3 linked regions of the Kluyveromyces lactis genome follow. The protein of the gene in region 1 interacts with the protein of each later gene in a biochemical or structural test. Links are inferred from orthologs where the notes say so. Each region holds a gene or a part of one and is shown in the gene's direction. Other genes may lie near its edges.

Region 1 (4,064 bases):
TAAATATAAAACAAAGGAAATTCTAAAGTAGATATATTACCGACACCAGTAATATAGAACTCTCTCGACCGTTTAGGATGTTTCTTTTTTATTAGTTTTCTTTAGGCGCTGATCAGGACAGTGCCTCTTCTCTTACTAAAAAATAGATCAGCTTTTTCTACCGAATGCTTGAAGATTTGATTTTTCAAGAATCCAAGACATTCAACAGATATTAACCTGTAAAGGGCAGAAGTGAAAATGAAAATAGAACAACCGTAAATTTTCAAAATTGCCCCCAAAAAAAAAAAAGTCTCACGTGATCTAATATTCGGGTAAGGTAATTATTTGCTTTTTCATTAGATACTTACTTAGGAAAATGTCCTTTTAAAGAAATAAGGGTTTTTGGCACTTACCGCATTGAGTGTTTTGTTATTGTTTACATTTTGTTCATTTCCGTTGTACAGATTTGGTTAATGTCGAAAAAAATTCAATAATGTAAATAGTCGGTTTTGTGTTTTCAAAGTTGACAAAACTAGTAATTTGTCGGTTTGAATAAATTTGAAGTTACAGTAAATTGCGGTAGCTCATTGTCATTGATATTACTATTTGGGTATCCTTGTATACTGGTTTGGCTTTTATATCAGCTTAAAAGTACTGGGTTTGGTATAATATACTATTATATTGGAAGGGAAAAAAGTCAGATTCTAATATTATACAGTCTTTCTTTACATACTTCCTAAGAGCATACTTGGCATAAGAGAGGGCGGGAACTCAGTCCTTTAATTGTTACCATCTTACCTGAGACGTATCAAGTGCTTATAACAAGGGTTCTTTTGATATTAGAAGCATTTTTTTACTGCGACTGCCATAATTCAGTTGAAAGTTCGATTATTCTTAGGAATACTTACATCACTGATATTAGTTTACAAACTTGCAGGTGAAAGGAAGACTTACAGTGAGCGGAAACATCATTTAACAGTCAGAATCTTGGTTGTTGTACTCATTCTGCTGTTGTTAACCTAAATCGCTTCAGTTTTTCAACGGTGCCAGTGCTTTGACGTCGTAGATTCATTTTTTTTGATCGAGAGCCACAAAACCGTTAATTGCAAGGTATTTATTGGACGGGCCAAGGAAATACACGCAAGAAAGAAATTAGTTACTGGAGGTTGATAAGTGTAGACTATTTATCACACATTGCAGTGATATTTCTTGTATACTGGTTCGACAAGGGTGTTTGACATAACAAAAGCTCGCAGGAGTATCATTCCATCAAAGAGCTACAAAATAATCAGACATCATGTCTGCACCACCACTTCAAATCATCAACGATAAACAGCTAAATGCTCGATCGAATAATATTCATACACCGATCAAGGCTAAAAGGGTTGTTACTGAGCTGCATCATATAGATAGACTTACTACGAATGGTAAACCCACCAATAATAATAATAACAATAATAATAATAATATCAATCGTCAGCAGCCGCCTCAGAAAAAGAAGAAGGAAAAACTCTCTTCTTTATGCAAAACACCTCCATCGTTGATCAAGACTAGAGGACGGGACTACCACAGAGGACATTTCTTAGGTGAGGGAGGATTTGCTCGTTGTTTCCAAATGAAGGATGACAAGGGAAAAGTATTTGCTGCGAAGACAGTTGCTAAACTGTCTATCAAATCTGAAAAGACAAGAAGGAAATTACTATCAGAAATTCAGATCCACAAATCTATGAAACATCCCAATATCGTTCAATTTACAGACTGTTTCGAAGATGATACTAACGTTTATATCTTATTAGAGATCTGTCCAAACGGATCTGTTATGGAATTATTAAGACAAAGAAAACATTTGACGGAACCTGAAGTAAGATTCTGTATGATCCAAATCATTGGTGCCATAAGATATATGCACAGTAGAAGAGTTATTCATAGAGACTTGAAACTTGGAAATATTTTCTTCGATAAAGAGTACAACTTAAAAATCGGTGATTTCGGTCTTGCTGCTGTCTTGGCAAATGATAAAGAGCGTAAATATACCATTTGTGGTACACCTAACTATATTGCTCCAGAAGTGCTCACCGGAAAGCACACTGGTCACTCATATGAGGTTGATATTTGGTCAATTGGTGTGATGCTCTATGCATTGCTATTCGGTAAACCACCATTCCAGGCAAAAGAAGTTGAAACAATCTATGAAAGAATTAAGTGTAGAGATTTCATTTTCCCAGCTGACAAACCGGTATCCTCAGATGCTAAAAACTTGATTTCACATCTCTTACAGTTAAATCCAGCCGCCAGACCATCGTTATATGAAATAACTGATAACGTATGGTTCAGAAATACTTTCCCTTCAAGATTACCGTCTACAATAACCAAGGAGATTCCAAATTTCGATCACCTCAGTTTCAGCGAGTCATTGATTAACTTGAAACAATGTATGCTAAACTCAGGGTTACTTAAGAGCTCACAAACTCATTCTTATGATGGTAGTAAGAATCCAATTGAGTTAGTGAGAACAGAAATAGAAGAAGAAAGAAACAGAGCTGTTTTACCACAATCCTTGTCACCAGGCGGAACCAAAAATAAATATAAAGAAGTTATCGATCTTGATGGCCACAGAAAATTTAACGAGATGGCATATCAAAATCGACTGAAAAAAGCCGGAGAGAATCTATTCTTCAAGCCTGAGTTGGTGGCAACTTCAACTAACATGATTAAATCCGAAATGTCGCTGAAAATACTTGCAAGTGAATGCCACATGACACTACGAGGGATCAAGAGTGCCGAAATAGATAAGAGGCAATCAAACTATCCTTCTCCAGACTCCACCGTACAAGACCCAATCGTGGTCACAAAATGGGTAGACTATTCGAACAAACATGGATTTGCATACCAGTTATCAACTGACGATATCGGGGTGTTATTCAACAACGGAACCACAGTATTAAAGCTAGCAGATGCGGAAGAATTCTGGTATATTAACTATGATACTAAGGAAGGATGGGTTGCAAGCCATTATAAATTAGAATCTAAACCTATTGAATTAACAAGACACCTTGAAGTGGTCGATTTTTTCTCAAATTACATGAACTCCAATTTGAGTAGAATTTCTACGCTGGTCCGTGAAACTTATCATAAAGATGATGTGTTCTTGAGAAGATACACCCGTTATAAACAGTTTGTTATGTTTGAGTTGAGTGATGGTACTTTCCAATTCAACTTCAAGGATCACAATAAATTTGCATTGTCACATGGAGGTAAATTCTTAACATTTATTTCATCTGATCGTAAAACGATAACGTTACTGCTTTCGAGTGTTCTAATAGATGGATGTGTACCAGGATTCCCTTCTATTGATATATTCGAGAAACTAGAACTAATGAAGGAGGGCTTGAGAGATAAAGCAAGTGTTCTAACAATACATTAGGTAGGGATGTCATTGTGATAATATGCAATTTGCATTTGAATGTCTTCATCTGGTTGTACAAGCCAGCATGTATGGCTACGTCCATCAAGCGCCTTTATGTATTTTTTTCGCATTCCTGCATCCAACGATTTATACCAAATGATACCAGCTATTCCTGATCGTTGTGTTCCCCCGATTGCAACTTCTAAAACTGCCATCCATTCTGTATCAAAATATCTTCACCTGTCAGATTTCATTGTTTCATTAGTTAATTTTGAATCTGTGATGAAATAAGCCTGGGGCTGCCAGAATAAATTTGTTTAATTTAACATAAATTAATAATTGAATCTTAACATGATCCCTCACCAGAAAAACTGTATCTTAAAAGTAACAACAAATGTATACAAGTTAGAAAGATGTGAAGATATCAAAATTCGAATATCTTGTTCCTTCCAAGGTTTTTTTATTGCAAACAAGGTCACTATTCTGTACTGATAATACCCAAAAAACCCAAAAGAAATAGTCCTATACACAATGAACGTTGAACTTTACGGTGGATAGTAATACGCTCTCCTATTTTATAGCCGAAACACAACACAGTTCATGAAAATAATACATAGAAGGGAAGAGGGGATAGAGAAAAACCGAAGGAGGTTCAATAATTCTTTTGAAAAGATGAATT
Region 2 (3,513 bases), on another chromosome or scaffold:
CTTTCAAAATTGATGTTTGGTCGCTTGGTATTACAGTGTACGCAATTTTATACAATGTATTACCGTTCTGGGGAGAAACTGAGTTTGACACATACAATCTGATCTGTCATCGGCAGTTGAAACCTGACGTTCATAACAGTTCAAATATTTATGGATGGATACATGAATACGTTGTTAACCGTATGCTATCCAAAAATACAGCTTCTAGGCCAACAACATCAAATATTTTGCGTACATTGGAATCTCATTCCAAATCTGAACTATCATCAATGAATAAAATGAAGTTGAAGCTAAATAAATGGAAAAAAAATCTACTCACTAAGAATAAAAATACCGAAATTCTTCCTACACAATCCTTCAAAGAGGATTTTTGTTCGCCTGCCAGTAGTATCAATGCTGCTTCGATCCCTCTTACAGACAAGAAACAACCATTGAATCGATCCCATAGAGCGACAGTTAATTTGGAAAAGTACATTAAATAGGTCAAATTCATAGATTACATAACCTCACGCACTCTCCGGCATTCACAAATAGATAAACCCTTAACTTTGACCTGCTGTACAGGGAACGCAACGGGATTCATGCTGTCCTTTTCTAACCTTGAATTAATGTCTTTTTCGCTAAGGTTTCATTTTGTTTACAATTGAAAACCCTACTATTTACGTTTCGCAAAATGGCATTATTAGGAAAAAAAAGTTTCTGTTTTTGTTTCACTCTGTGCGGTGATAAACCTCAAGATCTGGAGGTTTTAAATAGAATTGATCAAAAAGTCAAAAAGACATTAGCGCCTGTCGTATTCCTGTGATCAGCGCTAGTCATCGACTGGTAAACTGAAAGAAGGCTACTCATTAATTTTACTGATTTTGTCTCAATAGAAACTATTTGCGTAGACTTTTCTTCAGTCCGCTTGTGAGGTTCTAATCACCAGATTTAATTACCGACTTAAAGACCCACCTTTCTCAACATTGAACCGGGCATACCCAGAAGTTGAACTATCAATATACTCCTGAACACTTAACCGTCCCAACAGGCATTTCATTTCTCATATTATTCTGTTTTTCCTTTTTCCTTTTTGCATTCAAAGATCAGAATTCAGGTTTATATTCACCTCCCGCTCTTAACTATAAGGTACCTAGTTGCCTACTCCATTTACGACATTAAAGTATTATTCAACTCAGACTTGAAGCATATCTGCAAAGATCATTCTGCATTGTTTCTCATATATGTTTAATTGTCAGATCGTTCTATCGTAAAGCAATGAATAACTCTTTCGAGAATAAAAAGCCGACACGGCTCTTCAAGCACCTACACTCAATATGGTCCATATCTCTTCGAGGGAAATCTGATAAAGAAGCATATACTCAAAAGAGGTCTGTTACATCGGAATCCAAAAGGCCTATAGCCTTTCAAGGCGAGATATCCTCCACTGATAGAAAAATGGTCAAGTTGGCGGACTTCAAACAACAAACACTGATTGTTAGCGAAAGCGACTCGTCAATATCAATTTGCCAATCGCCATTAAGTCCGATGAATCTGAGAAGAGAGAACTCGCTTTCCCTGATGTCTCCAAATAGAGACACTGAAGAGTCTTCCAATTATGAAAATTCTAATGACGAGTCTGAGATCGAATCGCTTAATACACATGAAAAGTCCGATAAGATGCCCTATGATAATATGATGCTCAACAACAACGAATCACAAAACACGCTTTTATGCGATTATAATCCCAAAATGTCGTCAAAAGCTGTGCGACAGAGGAGTTTCAAAAGACGCGATTTGGCACCCACTATTTTAACCCAAAAAGCCAAGCTCAGACGAACACATTCTATGTTTACCAGTACGAATGAGGTAGAAATCAGAAATACACGTATTCCAATTTATGACTCACGTTTAGAAATTTCAAAACTACCAATTCACTACGAAGAACATAGCAGTGATAATCTACCGAGGATAACAGTGGAGACTTTACTTCAAATTATGAATGATGATTATAGCAAGTTCTATCAAGAAGTCTATATTGTTGACTGCAGGTTTCAGTACGAGTTCCTCGGTGGACACATTAAAGATGCAATTAATATATCGAAGCAAAAGCAATTAGAAGAAGAGTTTATTCATAAAAGACACATCAGATGTTGTGACAGTGAAAGGCCGCCATTAATCGTCTTCCATTGCGAGTTTAGCTCCTATAGAGGTCCTATAATGGCATCACATTTGAGAACCTGTGATAGAATAATAAATCATGACAACTATCCGAAACTTCATTTCCCTGACGTTGTCGTACTAGATGGTGGTTTCAAAACATTTTATGAGAAATACCCAAATAAATGCGAGGGTCATTATGTCTGCATGGATTCAAAAAATCATGAATTAGAATTGAGTGAGTTTAAAAGAGATAGTAAGAAGCTAATGACTCGAGCAAACTCAACTCAAATATTCCAGTTGAAAGACAAAATTGGAACCTGTCCTGTAAGTTTGAGCGATGTAAACAACGATTATAATATCCCACTCCCCAACAAAGTTACTACAGAAGAACATCAACTGACCAATGAACAAAACATCGACTATGATGAAGAGGCATCATATTTCAATTTCAGCATAAACGTGCCGCCCAAATTGTGCCTAGACAGATATGGCGAAGGTTCTCCCAACAATGGATTAAATTCATCAAAGAGTAGCAGCCTAAGTACAAGTAGCAGGCTATTATTCTCAGATGAAATAGGGACTGAGTTTAAACCAAAATTTCTGGAGCACGAAGAGTCTGATTTAGATTCAGATGGATATAGTTTCCAGTTTGGTGATGACGATACTGACGATAGAATGAGTAACATCACTGGGAAGAAACGATTATTCCCGGAATTAGTCAATGCGAATAAATAAACAAGGTACAACGATAAAATAAGAATTGAATTGAAATCCATAATCTCATCATTTCATTATGTGCATGCTTAATATGGTATATATACATAAATAACAACAAATTCTTTCTCTCTTCAGGTATTCGGTCTTTACGTCACGAATGTTCCATCGTAGGGAAAACTTTAATGTCACCTCTTCCTTCGCTCATGTTCAGATCTGCGCTCCATCTCGAAGGGGGCCATACTATTTTGACTGCTTTACCTAATGCTAAGCCAGTACTGATGGGGCCGAAATTGTTAGAGTCAACTGAATGGTATACATTATCACCTTCGACCCATAGATGATTTCTGGGAATCAGACAGGTATCCTTAGGATAAGGTGATCTAGTTTTCACCTGATCAAACTGTACGCCTTTAACACGTTTACAGTATACTTTCTTTGGATTCGAAGGGGATTTGAATAGTACTACATCATTTTCTTTCCAATTCTTGGCTTGTTTGAGATTAAACTTCCAAAGAAGAACCCAATCGGATTCATTATTGAACGAATCAGTTGGATTAAGCGTAGGTCGCATCGAGGAGCCTTCAATCTTAGCTACATAGCATACATGTTCTGTGAAGGTGAGTATAACTGGAATCCACGAAACTGTAATAACCG
Region 3 (3,616 bases), on another chromosome or scaffold:
ATAATACACTTGATACGGATACTCTACTTGGAAGCAATTGTTTTCCCGGTTGATTGTAAACCTGTCTCGGCGTTTGTATTATCCTTCGTCTGCTTTTTTTTCATTATTCTAATTCCTATTATTCCATTGCACAAGCTTACACAACACAACGACGAATACATTTCATGATTTAGCCTAAAGACCCTTTTTTGTTGCTCCGGTCATTGTCCTTTCTTTCCATACAATACTGTAGTGTGAACGTACGAATAAGACTGGGAACTATTGAGAATTAACCTAAAACGACTATTACTAAAATATACAACGAATTAAAACCCAGCGAATTAAAAGAAATCAGAAGAAATAAATACGATAAAACCTAAAAATTCTAAATGATATGGAGGTTGATACAAGTGATGTCTCGATTCCGTTTCAAAAGGGGGTTCTAGTCTTTGTTTTAATGACCAACAAACATAAATCTTTCTTCAATATACTATTCCTTCCTTTCTAACAATATCAAAGAAAACACTGGATCGATTATAATTTGTCTATCCCCGTTAAAAATATTATCAATTAAGAACCGAATTGAAAGACTTAGATTTTATATTTTTTAGCAGAAACGATTTGTGTGTAACTGATGTCTAGTTTTAAGATTCATATTCATATATACCGATTAAACTGACTGCGCATACTGAGAGAGATGATCTGGTTTTGGCATCAACAAGAGTTAGAAAGGCAGGGTAATAAATGGGTATAAGGTCCTCACTTGTTACCCGGATTTTATACCACGAAATCGAAATTTTTCCGGCGGGAAATCTTTTGAGGTCCCAGAAAAAGACATTGTTTTCCCCCAAAAATATTTTCGCGATTTTTCTCCATAACGCGTTTCCGTGATGAGATCTATAACCAGCAATCCTTTAACAAATATCATTGATAAACACTGGATGAGAAGTATGTCTATTCCATCATATTGATTGCACCTTTACCAATAATTTTATCAAATATATATATTACCTATGGAATTTTAATGTCGTGACCTCTGAAAAAAGACACAGTGCTATTTTATTTCATTTTTATTTTGCTAACCATTCCTTATAAGATCAAGTTCTAATCTCGATCTTAAGTTTATATCCATTTGCTATACCATTTGCAACAGGAACCACGAGCCTTATATCACCTAATCCAAAAATAAACAACGTATATGCCACCAAATAGCAATTCACATACTCAGGTGAGATTAAATACAAGCAATGGGCCGTTGGCTCAGATCTGGCTGGCTTCCAATTTGAGTAGCATCAATCGGAACATTGCAAAGACTAATATCGTGGAATCTGTTGAAGAGATTGCCAAAGCTGCAGGTGTTAATCTAGATGATGAATCTGTGGAACCTATCACATTACGTGCTTCCGGTGAGTTACTACATGGTGTTGTAAAAGTTTATTCTCAAAAAGCATCCTATCTGCTTACTGATATCACAGACTTACTGAGTAAAGTGAAATCTATCTTCAAGGGATCGCTGAACAAGAGCGTCACAATTCAGCTAGATACAGTGGCAAAGTTAGATCAGCTTTTATTGCAAGATGCGGTTACAGAACTTGACGTCTTGGAGATGCCCAGTTTGGATTTCTTGAAAGATATCCAAGTGCCAGAAGGTTTTTTGATCGCTGAACGATCAATGGAAAGACAAGTGCAAGGAGCAGCACCTGTAACATCCGCCATTGCAGCACAACAACAAGCATGGGATATGTCCTTAGAAGTTGGAAGGCGATTCCTGGCAGATGAAGATGATGACTTGAATGCTATTGAACATCACGATTCATCTCATTTGAAATTAGATTTTGACCTTGGTGATTCTAATCAAAGCAATAACACTAAATCATGGGGTGAAGGGACTCGTGTTACTGCTAGTGAAGTAAACGCGGATGATGGAGAAAATGAAGGTGATTTGACTATTAGAAATGACAATGACGATGATGATGAATTGCTACCACTTAACGATGATTGGGATTTGGGATTAAACGATGATGATCAGAATATTTCTGGTAATCAGTCTAGCCATGGTAGCGACATGTCTGTAGAGATCGGGAGAAGGGCTGATATTACTCACTCATTGCATGATGATACACTCTTAGACTTTGATCTAGGGCTGCCAAAGGACACAGAACCAGAGCATCAAGAGCAAGCAGAGGCATACATACCACCTAGAGCAGTAAAGAAGAGGGCACCAAGGAATAAAGCCTTTATCAATGTTAAGAAGGTTCTCATAGATGCTGATGCCGAATTAAACGATTCTGAAGTGAAAGGAGGACCATCGGACTCAATTCTTATCGTTTCTGATGAGACTTCGTCCGCTATATCAAAGAAAAAAAGAGCCATCGATGAATTATACTCTGACCTGGACTTCCTTCCTCAAAAGATTATATCTAATTTCTTCAACCATAAAGCTTCAAAGAAGCCTAGAGCTCTGTCACAATCCAGCCAATCTGATGGGTCCGATGTTGATATAGATATCTCTTTGGGTATCGATGGAAGTTTGGTACACAATTCTGATCCATTCGATCACCAACAAATGGGCTTTGATGCAGAATCAGAAGGACCAGTGTTTGCTGATGATGAACCTCCAGTTCTTGCAGCTGATACATCCATGGAAGAAAATGATTACCAAGCCATTCAATCAGACGAATTTGCCTCTCGTGGGTCAATTGAAAAGGAAAAAAGTCAAAAAGTAGAGCTTGCTACCGGTGAAATCGTGTCTAAATCTACAGTGGAAATGGCAACTCTACTGAGAGATGAAATGAGCTCCGGTGAAGCTACTTTTGATAAAATCCTTACTTCGAAGTACCAGGATAACGCGGTAATAACAAAAAGAATGGCCAGTAAAGCATTCTTTGAGTTACTTTCTCTTGCCACCGCAGACTGTATATCATTGAAACAGAAGGAAACATTTGGACAAATCACAATTTTAGGAAAATCAAACTTATATGAGACGTTTGTTACCGCATAGACTTTTAATTTGGATACTTTTATAACGGACATTATGTATAAATAATTAATAATATCTGTTTTTTTAAGTTGGTTTAAATATACATGACGGCAGATCAGTTCAAGTTGTTGTGCTATTCGATTTCTTCATTTGGTTGTTGCTGTTGTTGCTGCTGCTCCAAGTATTCTTGTATTGATAACTGGTTAATGTGTTGTAAAAGCTCCTCATCAGCGAACCTGTTCATTTGGGATATTTCTAGATGTTTACTATCAATTAGTCCTTCGATTGTTTCTACTACATACTCACTTTCTCTATCATGTGGTTGTGGTGGTAGTACATCGAATTCAAACACAGAATGATCTGACCAAATTTCTTCGGGAATAGCAGCCATAACGGATGACTCTTGAGAAAGAATAGCAAACCTTAACAAATTAATTGGAATGTTATTGATGAAGAATGATGTTGGCGCCACGTCGTCATCATCATCGCCATCATTTATATCCTTCACTGCATCAGTGTCAAACGAAGTGGAATTAAAAATGCTTGCTAACTCATCAAGTAAAAACTTCTTAGCTTCCGCTTCCTTCCAAATGGCGCCCATTCTAGTAGTATAAGCTTTTGTCTCGATAGAAGCGCTCACAGTAGGAGGTTTTAATT

The links.
Region 2: of the proteins of CDC5 (region 1) and MIH1, one has a biochemical effect on the other in vitro, tested with the Saccharomyces cerevisiae proteins (2 studies listed by BioGRID). The link is inferred for Kluyveromyces lactis from reciprocal best matches to the Saccharomyces cerevisiae genes CDC5 and MIH1.
Region 3: of the proteins of CDC5 (region 1) and MCD1, one has a biochemical effect on the other in vitro, tested with the Saccharomyces cerevisiae proteins (3 studies listed by BioGRID). The link is inferred for Kluyveromyces lactis from reciprocal best matches to the Saccharomyces cerevisiae genes CDC5 and MCD1.

Annotation. Positions count from the first base shown.
Region 1 is NC_006039.1:539,133-543,196, forward strand, and holds CDC5 (polo kinase CDC5), read left to right. Parts: upstream 1-1,276; coding exon 1,277-3,403; downstream 3,404-4,064. UniProt on the Saccharomyces cerevisiae protein: Protein kinase required for the cell cycle where it is involved in mitotic exit. A component of the fear (CDC14 early anaphase release) network which promotes CDC14 release from the nucleolus during early anaphase. Phosphorylates SCC1/MCD1 and NET1.
Region 2 is NC_006042.1:2,490,248-2,493,760, forward strand, and holds MIH1 (putative tyrosine protein phosphatase MIH1), read left to right. Parts: upstream 1-1,257; coding exon 1,258-2,877; downstream 2,878-3,513. Other genes in the region: serine/threonine protein kinase ELM1, read left to right, coding at 1-482; IMP2 (endopeptidase catalytic subunit), read right to left, coding at 3,011-3,513.
Region 3 is NC_006042.1:1,367,017-1,370,632, forward strand, and holds MCD1 (kleisin alpha), read left to right. Parts: upstream 1-1,177; coding exon 1,178-2,980; downstream 2,981-3,616. Other genes in the region: RQC1 (Rqc1p), read right to left, coding at 3,093-3,616. UniProt on the Saccharomyces cerevisiae protein: Cleavable component of the cohesin complex involved in chromosome cohesion during cell cycle. The cohesin complex is required for the cohesion of sister chromatids after DNA replication.